Linked DNA regions of Arabidopsis thaliana. The protein of the gene in region 4 interacts with the protein of the main gene of each other region in a pairwise test. Each region holds a gene or a part of one and is shown on either strand. Other genes may lie near its edges. The genes, in order: NRP1, AT5G64780, NRP2 and VPS9B.

Region 1 (4,938 bases), on a different chromosome or scaffold from region 4:
ATTCGCCAACTGAGCAGCCTCTAGAATCATACCCTGGTTAGACAATCCCTTGATCAGTGTGTTGTAAAGAATAACGTTAGGCTTTATCCCTTTCCCTAAGGCCTCATTAAATAAAGCTAAAGCACGGTTTGTTTCACCTTCATGACACAACCCGTCAATTAAGGAGCGATATGTGAACTGATCAGGCACAAATCCATTGAAAACAGCATCACCTACAATCCTTTCTGCAAGTTGTACCATCCCACCTTTGCAATATCCAGCTATTAGTGTGTTATAGGTATAACTATCAGGCTCAAGCCCTTCATTCACCATTTTCCCCAAGTAAACCTCTGCCTCCTGAAACTTGGAATTCTTACATAAGCCATATATAAGATTGTTATACGTGATGACATCAGGTTTGGGTCCCTGTTCTATGAGACAACCTACCATACGAACCGCACCATCAAGCTCACCTCTCTGACAAAGCCCTTGAATGAATAAATTATAAGTAAACAGATTCGGTAAAACACCTCTTTTGATAACCTTATCAAGTAGTTTTTCACACTCCTTAACATCTCCTTTCTTGCAAAGAACACGTAGAAGCTTGTTGAACGTACTAAGACAAAGCGAAACACCCGATGCAAGCATCTTCCCAAACAACTCATATCCCTCAGCCTTAAAATTCTCCTCATAAAACCCACCAACCACAGTACAATAAGCAACCACATTCATCTCACAGCCTTGAGAAGACATATTATTAAGAAGCCTCAAAGCAGCGTGAGGCCGACTGGTCTTACAAAACGACTTCATCCTAATCGTAAACGAGTAAACATCAGGCGTAATACCTCTATCCCGCATCCTCATATACACCTTGTGAGCTTGATCAAAGTAACCACTATCAACCAATACACTCATAATAGCATTATAAGAGAAAACCGTAGGCTCACAATCATAAAAATCCATCCTTTCAAACACATTAACAGCTTCTTGAACTTTCCCTTTCCTACCATAATTCTTCATTGCCCCAACATAAACCCCTTCAAGCATATGGTTACCAACATTCTCCCGCATATCCACTAAAACCTCTTCCATGGCTTCGAATTTTCCATAATATCCAAGCTTTTCGATGACACTGCGGTAAGTAGATAAAGTATGCTTGAAACCAACCTCTTTTCTCATCGAATTGAACATTTCTAGAGCTTTCATAGGATCCTTCTGACATTTTATAACTGCAGTTACATGTTTCGGAAGCAGAGGAGGACCCATAAAGGAGAATAATCGTAACCTAATGAAAATACTTTGAATCCCTAAAATCCAGATACGAGAGAAATAGCAAAGAAGACAGAAGAACCCTAGACAATTCTCAGCGGAGAGAATAAAATCGAGAAAAAGGTAGATCCTTTCTCAATGAGGAGACTCAGAAAACAACTGGAGAAATCAATTACAATGGATGAAAGTAAAGTTCACTGATGAGCTTCAACGGCTACAACGCTGGGAGTAGTAAACCCATCGCACTCGGCGAAGAAGCGCGTAGGAATAATTTGAATAAATAATTATGTTTTCTTTCTAGAACACAAAAGTTGATATGGCCGAGTTGGTCTAAGGCGCCAGATTAAGGTTCTGGTCCGAAAGGGCGTGGGTTCAAATCCCACTGTCAACATTTCCTTTTTTTTTTTGTTTTTTTCTTCTCAAATTGTTTTATTTTAAAGTGGATATATTTTGTCAAGTTATAATATTTTAGAGCAATAATGTTTTAGTGGTCCTGAAGTAAAATCATACGACACAAAAAGGGAAAAATTAAATGACTTAATCCGCTTTTATTAAATCAACTATTTTAATAGGATAACTTAAAAAAGCAAGTGAAGAGAAAATTCTAAAGTACCCTAATATTGATTTTTAAATTGACTAATATACCCTTATTTGCTTCAGCTGGCGCAACCTGATTGGTCCACATAAACCCCTCAAAACCCTAAGTTCCCTTTTGCCCACTCTCACACTTCACAAGCATAAACTCTCATCGGGAGCTAGGGTTTTAGCTGATTCTCTTGTGACGGAACCACAAGAAGAGAAGAGACCAAAAGGAGGAGCCAAAATCCTCTCTTTCTTTGGAATTAGGGTTTCCTCAAAGGAAGTGAACTGAAAATGGTCGCGGACAAGAGCAAGAAGTCGAAAATTGAAGAGAAAGGCGAAGAAGAAAACTTGGAGCAAATCGACGCAGAGCTTGTTCTCTCAATTGAGAAGCTTCAGGAGATTCAAGACGACCTCGAGAAGGTTAAAAAATCTCCTCTTTCACTTTTCGTTAATTTGCTCTGATTCTCCAGATTTTTCCCCTTTTTCTTAACCGGTGTCATGTGCTCTGTATCCTGGTAAAGTTGAATGGATTCCAATTTTGATTTTTATGGTACAGATTTTACTTTAATGTTCATATGTAGCTGGATTTGAATGAAGGATCGTCTTTTTGTATTGTTGCTACAGTAGTGATAGTTGTGTATTCGTACAATGCAATTTGAGAACATGTTGTGTGATTTCTGCTTATTTATAATTTAATTCATGTGACTGCTCTCTGTAATTACTCCTCCAATAGCTATAGAGAAGTTAGTGGAAAGAGTACTGTTTGAGAAGTTAAAGCTCAAACAATTGCATATCATTAACTCATAAGTACAGTTAGAATTGACATGAACTCTAATGAGTGTTTTTTTCTTCTTCTTTCTCCTAACTCTGGTTTGTTGGTTATAGATTAACGAAAAGGCCAGTGACGAGGTCTTGGAAGTAGAGCAGAAATATAACGTGATACGGAAACCTGTCTATGACAAGCGCAATGAAGTTATCCAATCGATTCCTGGCTTTTGGATGACTGCTGTAAGTGTTTATAGGTTGTTTTCAGTTACTGTTTTTAAACATCTACTACTTATTGACCAATGACCATTACACATTCTTTGCAGTTTTTGAGTCATCCTGCCTTAGGCGACCTCTTGACTGAAGAAGACCAAAAGGTTTGAGTTATCTTTCGGCATGTTTTCCAGATTATAATGCCGATAAGGCGATAACTATCCGATTGGCATTCATTTTTTCTGTACAGTTACATTACTTTTTACCAATTCATTTGATTTCCCTGTTTTTACAGATTTTTAAGTACTTGAACTCTCTGGAAGTGGAGGATGCCAAAGATGTGAAATCTGGATACTCTATAACTTTTGTATGTTTCTTTATCCAGCTCATTTTTCTAATCTGTTGTTATTGTCTTCTCATATTGATCTGAGAAGATTACTGGGTTTTGTTGTTATTTAACTTGTTAAATTGGGGGTATCAATCGCAGCACTTCACTTCAAACCCGTTCTTTGAGGATGCCAAGCTTACCAAGACATTTACTTTCCTTGAAGAAGGAACAACAAAAATCACTGCAACTCCTATCAAATGGAAGGAGGGCAAGGTAAATATAAACAGATAATAAGTTTCTTACTTTATTTGTCTCTCTTCGGCGTTATTTTTAATGATGTTTCTCAATAATGTAGGGCTTGCCAAATGGAGTGAACCATGATGATAAGAAAGGAAATAAACGTGCATTGCCAGAGGAGAGGTATTGTTCTAGACCCCATTAAGTGATCATATTCTTAGTGAAATTCTTGTGGTCATGAATATATGATGAATATGATACAAAAAGTTAAATTCTTTCCATTTAACTTTCTCTTCAGTTTCTTTACTTGGTTTACTGATGCTCAACATAAGGAAGATGCTGGGGATGAGATTCATGATGAGGTACATACTCATCTACTTTCTGACTTGTTATACGTTATAGACCGTTTTTATTATCTGCCCAATTTGAACTCCGAAATCTTCTCTCGGAGCAGGTTGCTGATATTATCAAGGAAGATCTCTGGTCCAACCCTCTCACCTACTTCAACAATGTAAACTATTTATCATTTCACTTTCAATCTTGAATCCTCTTTCTGTAGAGGTAATAAGTTGCTTAAAGATTTTGTTGATGTATGTAGGATGCTGATGAAGAGGATTTTGATGGAGATGATGATGGTGACGAAGAGGTAAAACAATTGTCTCATTGCTCCTCAAAATACATTGATTAATTGAGTATCAGTCTGGACATTGTTATTATGAGTCACATGTTTTGTTACTGTGCACCATCTCTTAACCTTGAAAATCTTTGAAACCATAATCTCTTCAGGGAGAAGAAGACGATGACGATGAAGAGGAGGAAGATGGTGAGGAATGATGGGAGCCCAAAGATAACACATTGCTGGCTTGCTTCTATAACAGATGTGTAAAGTTTGTGTTATGAGGTTCTCAATTTTAGCAATGATGAGACTAAGCTTTCTCTTTTGGAATATTTAGTTTATTTACTATCAATAGCTACATTCTGTTTGTACGAACCATGTCATCATCCATGTCCTAAATCTTGCCATAACTACATCTGTTTTTCGCAATTGAGAATCTCTCTTTATCTTATGTTGATTAATATAATCTATCTCAGTTAAAAGTTAAAGGTATAACTCTTGTGGCAGCCTGGACGAAGCTAGAGCCTGCAATGGAGCCTTCATGTAACAAACTAATCCAGGCTTCTCGGTCATGTCAATGTGTTCTCGAGGTGTAGAGGATGTCCATGAGAAACAATGCAACAAACTACCTAGTGCTAATGTCATCATATTGAGGCTGAGTTGAGCGGCTGGACACACCCGTCTTCCCGACCCAAACGGAAGAACCCGAAAGTCTTGACCTTTAACGTCCGTTTCCTCCACAAGAAACCTCTCTGGTCTAAACTCATCTGGGTTACTCCAGTTTGCAGGATCTCGAGCAATCGCCTGCACGTTGACATAAACCGTGGCTCCCTTAGGAACTTTGTACCCACCTACCTGAACTGATTCGCTGGCCTTGTGTGGAAGCATCAATGGTGTTGGAGGGTGAAGCCGGAGAGCTTCTTTGAGTACGCATTGCAGAAACGGCAGT
Region 2 (3,902 bases), about 23 Mb from region 4:
ATACCCCATTGAAATGTATATGGACCTATGACCTGACTCCTGAAATAATTATGTGTGGACCTAATTATTTATAAATTCTTAGTGACAAGTTGTTTCGAACACTTTCAAATTTTATTATAGCTCTAGTTTATATGATTAGCTAGATGAGTTGATTAGACTTTTACGTTTGAAAACACCGTGGCAAATAAAAAAAGACACAAAATTTGGAAAAAATCTAGATAGAAATCAGCCAAAATGTCATTGTGCCAAGATGTAGTGACAATCTCCAGACAACCACCTTGATGAATGTCTTGTTAGTACAGATAACACCATGACCAAAAGAAGAAGAAAGTGTGATTCTGTAACTTTTGTTTTTATCTGTCCATAGATTTTTGAACGAGAAGTTTCTTCTGAGGATTAGCATAAACCACGTAGCTCGGCGAAGATCAACATCAGGGCAATGTTTTTGCAGACAAGTTGAATTGAAAGAGGGACCATGAGAGCACATGGAAGGTTTTGGCTTCAATTTTGATCATTAGTCTTTGTCTCTCTTTCATCACTGTTAACAAGTCTACATTTAAGTCTTGAGAGCTTTAGACAAGACATGAAATCATCATATCGCCTATCGACAAAATCACTATCAGAGATTTGTCTATCTTAAGGGTCAATTCACATTCATCCAGCTTCTTTGAAAGATTAGGAAAAAGTGTTTTGTGTATTACATGAGACAATACTTTACCACAAACAATTGAGACTTTACAATGGAATGATTTATGTTTTTCATCTTTCGGCAAATGAAACAAGATTTTATTCAGTAAGATAAGTGTTCACCTGTAGAGTTGGGATTGTAGTTATTATTACCAGACTCAGCCTCACACAAGTTGAAGTCCTGAAGGGTTCTTCGAACCGGACTTGAGAGACCATTTGGTGGAATCAAGAGTTTCTCTTGGTTACAATCATAATGTTGTTGTTGTGCTATGTGACTTGAAGGAACATGAGCTACTGATGTATTTACGTTTGGTGGAGCGAATTGGTGCTGATAAAACTCTTGCATGGGGAGTGGTATCGACGTCTCCTCAGGTTCATATTCAAGCGCATTCTGCATATATGGTTTTAAAAGGTAAACACGAATAACTTTCAGATCAAACTAAAGATCGTTGGGACTTTAATGCGTAGCTAGTCAAGAGAGGTATAATCAATCTGAATTCCAATTACATAGCAGGAGCGTAATCAGAAACGAGATACTGTTTTCAAAGGAAAGTACCTGTAAGTAGGTAGTAATATCAGCTGTGGATACTCTAGTTCCTTGTTCTTCTTGTCTCACAATCCATTGGTAAAGCTTCTCCTGTAAAAAGAAAGAAAAAAGTAAAACTCAATGGACCAATCAAACCTCAAATCTCATACTACAATGTCATGAATCACTATTGAATGACGCCAAGAACGTCAAGCTGCCACCAAAAGAGAACAGCCATCCTAGTTCATCAATCTAGTAAAAAACAAAAGTAAGCACTTCAAGATCAAAAGGCCACAACTTTTATCAGTAAGACTGCTTGCTTAGCCTCATATCTAAACTAGCTTCATAGATCATAACCAATTTCAGAGTGTGTCTCCAATTAACTCACGTACGACAATCAATCGAACATAAACAAGCCAAAGAGATCAACTTTACCAAAACAACACATAAGAAACAACATTGAATATCCATGATTCATTCTGTGACTCTAAAATCTCGAGAGCAAACAGAAACCCAACAACACATAAGCACTCAATTTACGATTCAAGATAGTCAACCAACATCAAAACAAGCAACGAGAAGAAAACTTTTCAACTATGTTTCTATCTATCGAACCCAGAAGCCAAAAATCGAAACTGGATATAAAACAAGGTCAAGAGAGAGAGAGCAGAGACCATTCCGCGACGTTCACCGGCGAGGAAAGAAACGCGTTGGTGATTCATGGCATGTGTATAGAGCTGCGAGAGCGAATTAGCAGCGCCTCGAAACGCGCCATACATGGTTCGATCAACCTCATCGAGCCGCGTAGCCTCGGATTTTCGTTTCTTCCCCATTAGAGTCCGAACGAATCTCACAAACCCTAGAAATAGAATTGTCCAAGTTCTTAACAATTTGTAATTTAGGGATTTTAGAAAGAAGAAGAAGGATTATTGCCTTATTGGTGAAGGGAAGAAGAAGAAGAAGAAAGACTTGTGGCATTTACTCTGTAGAGATTCTGCCACGTGGCTTTCATGCTACTTTTAAGGGTCCCATATATCTAAAAACCTGGGCCCCACTATTGGCTTTGCAGACAAAAATTTTGAAGCTTTGGACTGTTTTTTTTTTCTTTGGTCCACGAATTTTTTTTTTTATGTGTAGAACCAAACCGTTAATAATTTGTGGATCTTCAATGAAAATAGTAGCTAATCACATATTTTGAGTTCAGACTGATTTATATACCAAAAATTAATATTAATAAACTGCTATCTCATTGTTTCAAGGATGTATTCGTTTAATAAGCAATTCGACCAATTATTAACAGCGATATACTCTCTTAACCAAAAAAAAAAAAACTAACTGATTCCGAAAAAAATACACACCTCTTTGTAGCTTGTAATTCTTTCTAAAAATAGAAATTTATTTTAAGCTTAATTAATCTTTCACTAACAACCTAAAAACATTCCTATTACAACGACCACCCAAGACACGAAAAAGAATTTTACCGACTGGAAGAAGAAAAAACATCAACCAGACAAAAGAAAAGAAAACAAAAACACATCTTCGAGATCAAACAAACCCTAATTATCATCCATCGTCGCCTTCTCAATATATATGGCCGGAAGAGCAGCGATGCTCGTTAACGTCGGGACGGTTATAATGACCGTTTTGACCCTGGCTAGTTTGGTCGGAGGCTTCGGTGTGAATTGGGGCAATATCGCATCACATCCGTTGAATCCCAACATTGTTGTTCAGATGCTTAAGGACAATAAGATCAATAAAGTGAAGCTTTTTGACGCTGATTCATGGACGATGAATGCTTTGGCTGGTACGGGCATGGAGGTTATGGTTGGAATCCCTAATAACCTTCTTGAGTCTCTCGCAGATGATTACGATAATGCTAAAGATTGGGTTAAAGAAAACGTGACCCAGTATATTCGTAAGGGTGGCGTCGACATCAAGTAACCTTCAAAACTTTTTCATTTTTTTGTAATCATGTTTTTACCATAATTCTATCTGATCGACTACATGATAAACCGATTTGATAAATAGATCGATTTTGGTTGGCTATTTATTTCCAATTTGAACAAAATCGCACCAATGAGATGATTTCATTTATTCAGACAATTTTTTTCCTGTTAATTTTTAATATTCTTAGTTTCTTGTTAAAATTTAATAATAATAATAAATTTGACATTATATTCATCTAAATACCTACAAACCGGTAAAAGTCGCTGTTTTGGGTGTATATTTGACCGAGAATTCATTCACTAGGTACGTAGCCGTGGGGAACGAGCCGTTTTTGTCTGCATACAACGGATCGTTCTTGAAGACAACATTTCCAGCGTTAAAGAACATTCACAAGGCGTTAAAAGAAGCTGGACACACCAATATAATGAAAGCCACGATCCCACAAAACGCAGAAGTTTACCAATCAGCCAACGACAAGCCATCAGAAGGTGATTTCCGCAAGGATGTCAAACAAACGATGCTTGATATCGTCAATTTCTTCCACGAAAACGACTTACCTTTCACCGTCAACATTTACCCTTTCCTTAGTCTTTACCTAAACGAGCATTTTCCCGTTGAGTTCGCTTTTCTTGACGGTGATGGTCAGACAATGACTGACAAAGGAAAGAATTATGATAACGTGTTTGACGCCAATTACGACACACTTGTTTACGCGTTGAAGAAGGCTGGGATTCACGATATG
Region 3 (4,903 bases), on a different chromosome or scaffold from region 4:
AATACTTTTCAGGTGATTCTTGTAGTTAATGGCCTCTTAAGAAATGAGAAATTAAATCTTGTTGTAGGTTATTAATAAAGTTGTTTAGAGAGCAATTTTATTAAATACCACTTTTTAGTAAAACTAGGTGATTCTATGATCAGTTTTTTACTCTTTTGTTTCTCAAGACTGTTTCCATTCGTTTCGGTTCGGATTTAACCGGTTTAGACACTCATAGGCGTAGGTCGTTCTGAAACATTTGAGTCTTTAGAGACTTTTTTGTTCTTCTGTACAACTAGAGCTAACCAGAATCTGAAATTTTTCGAGCATCTTTATACTATACAATAGATATTACAACTTCTTGCTTTGTTCTAGTGATCTGAAAGAGGAACTTACAGGAGTTAGTAATCATATTACTAGGTTAATCAAAGACAAAAAGTATATACATACCTTCAGACCAAACAATAAAGATACCAAAGGGTTTCTCAAAAATCCTGATATAAGAGAACAGAGTCATGTCACCAGACAAAATAAACTCCGTTCATCTGTCAAGCAGATCGGCTATATTTTCACCATAAACACACAAATTCTCTATTCAGTAAAGTCAAAGAAACACAACAGACATGAAATTACAAATATAATTCTCTTTAAGAAGACAAAAGATGAAGAAGCTATTATGTAAGACTCAAAAACCATTTAAGCAGGATTTTCCAACAAAAGGCTGAAAATGGTTTCTTACAACAAGATATAACTATTACGGTAAAATAAAATTAAAAGCTTGTCTGTTGTCGTCATAATCCACTTTTGCTTAAAATTAAAAACCTTTCAACACACAAAACTTTACACACTCTGTTATAGAGAAGACATGTAAGCAAATGTGGTTTCTGGGTATCCCTGCCATCATTCCTCACCAACTTCGTCTTCTTCGTCATCATCTTCATCAGAGTCACCTTCTTTCTCCTAGAGACAGATATGGTTTTGAAAAACTTATCAGGCACAACTTATAATGGAATCTCCAGAATTTAAATGGTTTCAGGCATTAATAATAACACAATGTTCTGTCTTAAGATATCTCTATCTAATCTTTCATCTCATTATGCACATTAATTAGCATATCATAGATGCAGTAATTTTTAAGTAGAAAACTCAACCAAACAAAGGAAATAAGATGAGGCTTTTACCTCTTCATCTCCATCATCGTCTCCATCAAAGTCCTCTTCATCAGCGTCCTACAAAGTTACATTTAACAATTTACCAAAATCTCCAAGCAACTTAAGCGCTCTAAACCAAGTAAAGACTGAAAAATGATATGGTGAGTAGCTTACATTGTTGAAGTAGGTGAGAGGGTTGGGCCACAAATCTTCCTTGATGATATCTGCAACCTGCTACAAGACGAATTTCCGAGTTCAAGTTGGGCCATACATGGAGTTACTCTTACAATCAAGTCATAAAAAAAATATAGGATCATTACCTCGTCTTGCATCTCATCCTCAACATCCTCCTTGTGTTGAGCATCACTAAACCAGGTAAAGAAGCTGAAAAAAGACAGGTAAAAGATAGAGAGTCCTTAGACGTGTAATGGCTAATAAGAATGGTGCCAAGAGTTTTAACTTGGATCTATGATGGGTTTCAGTGAAATGGGGGAGATGAGAAATACCTCTCTTCAGGTAGTGCACGTTTGTTTCCATTCTTCTCATGATTCACTCCATTCGCCAGGCCCTTGATAATTGAGAAATATAGTTAAGAATAATCTCAAAAACAGTGACAGCTTAAGAAATAAACTTATTTTATGCAATAAAGATCCATTTTACTTTGCCCTCTTTCCATTTGATAGGCGTGGCTGTGATTTTGGTTGTCCCTTCTTCGAGAAAGGTAAAAGTCTTTGTCAGTTTTCCATCTTCAAAAAATGGATTGGGATTGAAGGACTGCAATTCACAATGTAACAACAATCAGTAAACGAATAAACTAAACAACTTGGCTTTCTTAGATCAATCAGAGATATATCAATCAAATTATGATAAAGTCGCATAATAACAAAAGAAACTTACAAAAGTGATAGAGTATCCAGATTTCACATCTTTGGCATCCTCAACATCAAGAGAGCTAAGATATTTGAAAATCTGTTCAAAAACAGAAATATCGAATCAACAGGACAAAGAATGAAAACTGTGAATCAATCAATCAAAATCTAATAAGGAAAACACAAACCTTTTGGTCTTCTTCAGTCAAAAGTTCACCTAAAGCAGGGTGACTCAAGAACTACAACAAATGTAAATTTCCAAAATTCCAATTAGAGAAAACATTGTTTAAAACTCTGAATTGAAAAAAAAAACAGAACAGAGAGTCTGGCTTACAGCAGTTAACCAGAAATCAGGGATGGTTTTGATGATCTCGTTACGCTTGTCATAAACAGGTTTCCTTATCACATTATATTTCTGCTCCACTTCCAACACTTCATCACTAGCCTTTTCATTTATCTATCAAAACCAAAACCAGAGAGGTCACTGAGAGATTGGACTCAACACAACAATTCAATCCTCAAACAGTTTTATTGACAAAGTCAATTTGAAAGCGACCACATTTCACTCGAAAGACACAACAACAACATAATTACTAATAAAGATACTGACTTTTCTTTATAATTTGTCCACTAGAAATCTGAATCGAGAGAGAGTCCAACACAACAATTCTCATTGATCAAAGCAATAAATGAACATCGACTAAAGGAAAATTCACGAGAAAATTTAAACATGGGGATTGTTAAAAATTTTTGGAATTTACCTTCTCGAGGTCGTCTTGGATCTCTTGAAGCTTTTCGATTGAGAGGACAAGCTCTGCATCGATTTGCTCGACGTTTTCTTCTTCGGTTTTCGCCTTCTTGCTCTTGTCTGTCACCATTTTCGATTCCAATTGAGAAAACCCTAATTGCAAAAAACGCAGAGGAATTAGACTTCCTCTTCCCTCTTCTCTCTGGCTTCCGAGAGAGCAACCGCTAAAACCCTAAAAACTCGATTGTGTGATGCGTGAATCTGGGCAAACTGATTTAGGGTTTTGGGGGTTTTGTTAACCAATTAGATTACGTCACGTTACAGAAGAAGGGTATTTTTGTCATTTAGAGCCGGGAATTTCATATGTTTCTTTTGTTTAGGTTTTTTATTTTATTTTTATATAATTGGTTTTGTGATTTAAAAATAATAGAATCTACCCATCCATATATAGATTAATGGTGATTAAGTGATTAACAAAAATATATCTAGCTTAAATGATGTGATGTTGTTTAAGTTTTTTTATGATTAAAGAAAAAGTCATGTGTTGACAACAACAAAAGTCATGTATTGACAACAACAAAAAATTCATGTAATTGGTGACAAAAACAATATTAGGTAACAAATCAAACAATACAATCATGATGATTTCTTAATAACTTATCTGATCAACCCACCCTTTATATAATTTTCTGTGTGGATTAAATTAAATTTCTTATCCATGGGCTCAAAATGGGCTTCCCAGGGAACTTTACGGGCTACTGAAATAATGTAATTGCAACAGTCTATACATGGGCCACTATTAATAAACCTCTTGAGACCCAAATAAAATGTTTGTTTTTTTTGGTGTAAAGGAACCAATGTTATTAAGTTAAGTTATTAAGTTATTAACTACTCCATTTTTATACGTTTAAAAGGATCACATTTATGAATAAAAAGGTGTCATATTATTCATATTCAACGGTTGATTTATTGGAGTTGTTTGGCTCTAGTTGGGTATTTATGTGTATGTATATCAGACAAAACATAATAATAGGTATACTTCTTTTTCCTATTTAATATCGAATGGAATTGGGTAAGGTGGTCACAAAGTAATTAATATTGTTGAAAACATTCTTCACAGCTGGTGGTACCACAATACTTGATTTAAATACATAGAAAATATTAGTATAGACATAATTTTCGGCTTCCACTAATTGTAAACAAATATGGTAGTACATTAATTTCGTTATATTCTGTCGAACCATTAGAAACGAATCAGCAATGAATTATTTCGCTTAATATTAGTTTTTTTAAGTTTTGTTCTGTAAAGAAAAAAAGAATGTCAAGTTTTGTTCATATGTGTATTAGTTAAAATGTTTATACAGTAACATCTTAATATGTAGATTTATTAAGATGTTACCGATATGTATTAAAACTTTATTCAATAAATATAGTGCTGTCTAAGGCGGTCCAATTAATTATATATTTTGCATCCAATGCCCATACTCTGTTTATTCGTTATTTGAACAAATTAGCTCGTTTCGAGTTATTGAATTGGTCCCAATTTGAGAACATTCCCCTTCACATTTACTACTAACCAACCCTAAGTTTGCAATTGCATGGCTACAAATATATATCCGACGTTAATGCCAGTTTTGTGTAGTCTCATAGAGACTAATTGATATTTCCTTGTCTCGACGTCAAGTTCTCATCGTCGTCTCTTATTATCCACATGCTGATATGCATAATTTGTAGGGTCGTGACTCACGGGAGGGATCTATATAATTACGATGTTTTATTATATAATCCATTCCAATTAATGCGTAACGTCCATGGATGTGATATGGTGAAACATGTGGTGTGGAAATGATAATCCTTATATTTTAGTGTCATTTCTTAAAAGTTGCAAATATGGTATAACATGCAGAAACATAGTTAAGAACTTAAATCATATTCCAAAGAAGATAGTAAATCTAATAAGCAACATGTATTATTGTACGATGGTCGAAGACTAAAAAACTGGAGTGAATATATATATGTTCAGTGGTTACTTTGTATCAATTTTGTTCCTGGATAATTTGGGTTTCTGAATTGAATTTCAAAATTATTATAGAATTCATCGTAAAATATAGTGTGACTGGTTAGCTAGTGTCTGATCAAACTTAATTTGGACGTCA
Region 4 (4,541 bases):
GCTTGCCGTTTTAATTTGTTCCTTAATTGCTTTGATAGTGTGTTACTGTCCTGCCTGCAATTTTTTCCTTCTTCCACTTATATATTGTTTCCTGCTTGTTTAGTTTTATAGATTTATGTATCATCCATGTAAGCTTATATCACTCTCTCTTTACTTACAATTATGTTTTGGACTGCAGGATACTTATGTGGTGTGTGTTCTGTTCAAGAAAGATGGTCCTGGACCTAGAAATGGAGCTCAATATGGAGCTCCGTTTAAGGAAGAGGACTGGAGTGATGAGGAAGTACGTACTGATGTTCCTTCTACTAGTAATCCCACAAACCTTCTTGAGCCTAGCAAAGAAACCACTCTGGCTTTGACTGCCCCAGATGACTCCAATAAGGATTGTTTTGGTGGCATGATATCAGAGTCATGTGTCTCGGATTTCCTACCAGCTACAACTAATACCACCAGCGAGCTTCCACATCCAAGTGATGCAGCTACCACTCCTATGTCTACTGCACCTCTGGCAGAGACCGTTCAGACCCCCAACAATGATGACTTATATTCAATGTTGGATCTATTTGATGATGACGAAGAGTTCTTAGGGTTCAACAATAATGAGGTAGTTTTTTTTTGCATTCTTCTTCTTTGGCTTAGTATAGTGATAACAAGCCGGTGTCACTGCATGTTCTTAAGCTAGCAAGGCTACTTTAAAGCTGTTAAGTGTTTTAGTGGCATTGGAACGTAGTAGTTACCCATTAGACAAAGCTTCTTTGCTATATCTTCGATCTTAGTATCCAACATCAATATGTGCTCTTTTGTATCTGCTTGTTCTCCAACATCAATATGTGCTCTTTTGTATCTGCAAAATACATTCTCATATTTAATCAATCTACAGGTAAGATATGATCCCGGTGTCTCAGCTCCAGTTTGCTTAGAAGAAGAAGGCATTTTCAACGGACTACCAGAGTTGAGCAGCATGCCAAGGACGGCCTCTTACGACCTAGTTGAAAACTCGGAGTTATACCTAGAGCTACAAGACCTCACTGCTCCATTAAATCCCCAAACTGGGCTACAAGACCTCACTGCTCCATTTAATCCTCAAACTGGGCTACAAGACCTCACTGCTCCATTTAATCATCAAACTGGGCTACAAGACCACACTGCTCCATTTAATCCTCAAACTGGGCTACAAGACCACACTGCTCCATTTAATCATCAAACTGGGCTACAAGACCTCACTGCTCCATTTAATCCTCAAACTGGGCTACAAGACCTCACTGCTCCATTTAATCCTCAAACTGGGCTACATGACCTCACTTCTCCATTTAATCCTCAAACTGGGCTACAAGACCTCACTGCTCCATTAAATCCTCAAACTGGGAATCGCAATGACCCGAGAAGCTCCTCCTTTCTGTATAATCAAGGCCATTTTGACTTCTCTGGTGGTAATGATGATGATCCTTATGGCTTTTCTGCTTCCATGAGACATAGACCAAAAATGTAAAAAAAGAAGAAGAGAAGAGAAGCAGGATTTACAAATCCAACAGATGCAAATCAGACCGAATAGAAGGAGGAGCAAGCACCTTTGTTTCTTGTCTTTGAATTATGATTTTTATTAGTCAAAATCTTTTTAATGTGTCGAAACTTCCCTATCAACATTCTCTGTTTCATCCTTAGAATCTCGTATTTCTTCAGAGTATTCTCAACATTTATTCTTGTTTCTATTTTGCTATGGATTATTGTATATATACTTCTTCTGTCTAAATCATATCATTAATACTAAAAGGAATTTTAATGATGAATACTGAAAAACACAAAAACTAATCGGGAGGAACAAAAGTTCCAAGTAAAAACGAAGAATGAAAAAAGTAAATAAGAAGAAGAAAGTATCGTACCAGATTTAGGACCATAACAGATGATGTAGATGTAGGGCTTAAATGGGCTTCGTTTCGAATCCTATTTCGTTGGCCCAATATTTTAGCTTTCCCACCGCATCATTATTCATCATCTCGTGTATTAAAAAGCCGATTTGATCTCTTTCCACTAAAAACCTTGCTGACAAAGAATTCAATTTTGATTGTCGTCGATCGTACGGTATCTTGGGGGATTGATGGAGAACACAGACGTCGTCTCGGGTCTGCATAATTTCTTGAGTAAACCCTCCGCCAAAGATTTCATCAAATCAATCAAAAGGTTATCTCTCTCTCTCTCTCTCTCTCGCTTCTCTTCTTCGCTTTTTGTATACTTTAGGTTTATTTACTCTCTAGTTATGATTACATGTGTGCAAGATAAGATATCTTGCTGATTTCACATTGCTCTCTAGTAGTTATGAATAGTTTTTTTCGTTTTTGCGACAATGTTATGATATCGATGATTTGCTATAAACTTAAGCAGATTTTTGTTGTGATGGAAACATCACATGCCACTGGTTTTTTGAGTTGTGAACGTTTTTTGATGTTTTGCAGTTTCATTGTTTCGATCTTGAACACTGCACCAGACCCTGAAAAAGATTGTGATGCAGTTCAGGACTTCTTTTACAAGATGGAGTCTGCTTTCAGGGCTCATCCACTTTGGTCTGGTTGTTCCGATGATGAGTTAGACAATGCGGGAGATGTGAGTTATTCTTCTTCCCTTTTTCCTGCTTATCTCTCTCATGATTTATCTATAATAATCTTTCTTGACTTAATTTATGTATACACAGGGCCTGGAGAAGTATGTCATGACAAAGTTATTTCCCCGGGTTTTTGCATCAAACACCGAGGATGTTATATCCGATGAGAAACTCTTTCAGAAGATTTCCTTGGTTCAACAGTTCATATCTCCTGAAAACTTGGATATACAACCAACTTTTCAAAACCAAACATCTTGGCTTGTAAGTCACATCTATCTCTCCATAGTGTTGCTTGTTTTCTTATAATGGTTCTTACTTGTGATGTTTTTTTTTCTTATTTTATGGCAGCTAGCTCAAAAAGAGCTCCAGAAGATAAATATGTACAATGCTCCTCGTGATAAGCTTATGTGTATCCTTAGGTGCTGCAAAGTCATTAATAACTTACTTCTAAATGCTTCAATTGCTTCAAACCAGAATGAACCTGGAGCTGACCAATTTCTTCCTGTTCTCATATATGTTACCATTAAGGTATGTTGTCAAGGATTGTACAATTTAAGCAAAAGCTATTTCTGAATATGTCTCATGTTTACTTCATATTAACTCTTATCCTTGGATTCTGAAAATGACATTATTTGCTTTGTTTCTCCAGGCTAACCCTCCCCAGTTTCACTCAAACTTGTTGTATATACAAAGATATAGGCGTCAATCTAAACTGGTTGGCGAAGCTGGCTACTTATTCACCAACATACTCTCTGCAGAGTCATTCATCTCAAATATTGATGCAAAATCCCTCTCCATGGATGAAGCTGACTTTGAAACTAAAATGAAATCTGCACATGCACGTCTTTCTGGTCCGGGAAGCCAGTCTTATCAAACGGATCACGGTGCTGCATTACCCACTGCTCATAATACTAAGAGGGAAAACATGCTTCTGCATACAAAATCAACTGATAGTTTCTCTGGTACCAATGAAACACTGAGTGAAACACCAATAAAGAAAGCTGACCCCATTACCGATTTGGAAAATAAGGGCGCTGCTACGCTTTTGAATGATAGAAGTGAGGCAACCAAAATATTTCAAGAATATCCTTACATGTTTGCCAGTGTTGGTGATTTAAAGATAGGAGATGTTGAAGACTTGCTTAATAATTATAAACAGCTAGTTTTCAAATATGTTTGCCTTTCCAAAGGCTTGGGTGATGCAACATCTTTAACTCCATGCATTTCACCATTGCAAGCGTCTAAAGTCTCTGAGAATCATACAACATTGTCTTCAGATTTTCAAACGAAAAGCGAAACTGACAGGAGCGTTGATAATTTGTTTCGAGCTCTACAAGGTGAGGGAGACAATGTTCATAATATCTCAGATGTAAAACAATAATCAGACTTATCTCTTCCAAATGTAATCGGATTCAGTTCTTGAATGCTACATGTAATTTTACATTCACTAATTATACGGTTCTACGGTTATACGACAAATTGAAACACTTACCGGTTTTATCTGAGAACCGGTTAAGGGTTCATTACAAGATATGAAACCAAGATAAGCGAAAAGGGTATTATTGTAATTTCGCTTCATTTTCTGCTCCTCTGCCATTCCCACACCACTCAGAGGAACAGAGCTTAACGGCGACTATGGAAGGGATTGGACTGCGAAGTTGCGGAGATGATATTCTCCGTCTCGGATTCAAGCTACGCGGTGGTACCGGTGGCCGGATTCAGATTCTCCAGCGAGCTATGGTGATAAAAATGAGAGACCGTAGCAAGAACAGGAAACCATTGCAGAGAGGACGAATGCTCAGTATCGAAGCGATTCAAGCGGTTCAAGCCCTGAAGCGAGCCAATCCACTTCTTCCTCCTCCTCCCGTTCCTTCTACTTCCACGACTTCTTCTTCCTCAGCTCTGCTTGATCGTGTAATCATTTCTAAATTCCGTCGGCTCTTGA

The links.
Region 1: the proteins of VPS9B (region 4) and NRP1 interact in a two-hybrid assay, tested with the Arabidopsis thaliana proteins (one large-scale study listed by BioGRID).
Region 2: the proteins of VPS9B (region 4) and AT5G64780 interact in a two-hybrid assay, tested with the Arabidopsis thaliana proteins (one large-scale study listed by BioGRID).
Region 3: the proteins of VPS9B (region 4) and NRP2 interact in a two-hybrid assay, tested with the Arabidopsis thaliana proteins (one large-scale study listed by BioGRID).

Annotation. Positions count from the first base shown.
Region 1 is NC_003070.9:28,017,084-28,022,021, reverse strand, and holds NRP1 (NAP1-related protein 1), read left to right. Parts: upstream 1-1,972; 5' UTR 1,973-2,121; coding exon 2,122-2,250; intron 2,251-2,715; coding exon 2,716-2,838; intron 2,839-2,921; coding exon 2,922-2,972; intron 2,973-3,103; coding exon 3,104-3,175; intron 3,176-3,295; coding exon 3,296-3,409; intron 3,410-3,491; coding exon 3,492-3,556; intron 3,557-3,671; coding exon 3,672-3,735; intron 3,736-3,827; coding exon 3,828-3,856; coding exon of another isoform or gene 3,857-3,884; intron 3,885-3,971; coding exon 3,972-4,019; intron 4,020-4,159; coding exon 4,160-4,259; 3' UTR 4,260-4,438; downstream 4,439-4,938. Other genes in the region: AT1G74580 (Pentatricopeptide repeat (PPR) superfamily protein), read right to left, coding at 1-1,245; CYP98A9 (cytochrome P450, family 98, subfamily A, polypeptide 9), read right to left, coding at 4,473-4,938. UniProt on the Arabidopsis thaliana protein: Acts as a histone H2A/H2B chaperone in nucleosome assembly, playing a critical role for the correct expression of genes involved in root proliferation and patterning.
Region 2 is NC_003076.8:25,899,910-25,903,811, forward strand, and holds AT5G64780 (holocarboxylase synthetase), read right to left. Parts: upstream 2,219-3,902; 5' UTR 2,047-2,218; coding exon 1,888-2,046; intron 1,325-1,887; coding exon 1,244-1,324; intron 1,079-1,243; coding exon 791-1,078; 3' UTR 503-790; downstream 1-502. Other genes in the region: AT5G64790 (O-Glycosyl hydrolases family 17 protein), read left to right, coding at 2,804-3,150, 3,464-3,902.
Region 3 is NC_003070.9:6,480,587-6,485,489, forward strand, and holds NRP2 (NAP1-related protein 2), read right to left. Parts: upstream 3,061-4,903; 5' UTR 2,878-3,060; coding exon 2,761-2,877; intron 2,457-2,760; coding exon 2,334-2,456; intron 2,239-2,333; coding exon 2,188-2,238; intron 2,100-2,187; coding exon 2,028-2,099; intron 1,905-2,027; coding exon 1,791-1,904; intron 1,699-1,790; coding exon 1,637-1,698; intron 1,515-1,636; coding exon 1,451-1,514; intron 1,365-1,450; coding exon 1,305-1,364; intron 1,209-1,304; coding exon 1,161-1,208; intron 940-1,160; coding exon 880-939; 3' UTR 527-879; downstream 1-526. UniProt on the Arabidopsis thaliana protein: Acts as a histone H2A/H2B chaperone in nucleosome assembly, playing a critical role for the correct expression of genes involved in root proliferation and patterning.
Region 4 is NC_003076.8:2,889,571-2,894,111, reverse strand, and holds VPS9B (vacuolar protein sorting-associated 9A-like protein), read left to right. Parts: upstream 1-2,017; 5' UTR 2,018-2,095; coding exon 2,096-2,178; intron 2,179-2,450; coding exon 2,451-2,598; intron 2,599-2,686; coding exon 2,687-2,857; intron 2,858-2,944; coding exon 2,945-3,124; intron 3,125-3,245; coding exon 3,246-3,977; 3' UTR 3,978-4,010; downstream 4,011-4,541. Other genes in the region: NAC082 (NAC domain containing protein 82), read left to right, coding at 179-604, 881-1,489; AT5G09315 (vacuolar sorting protein 9 domain protein), read left to right, coding at 4,232-4,541.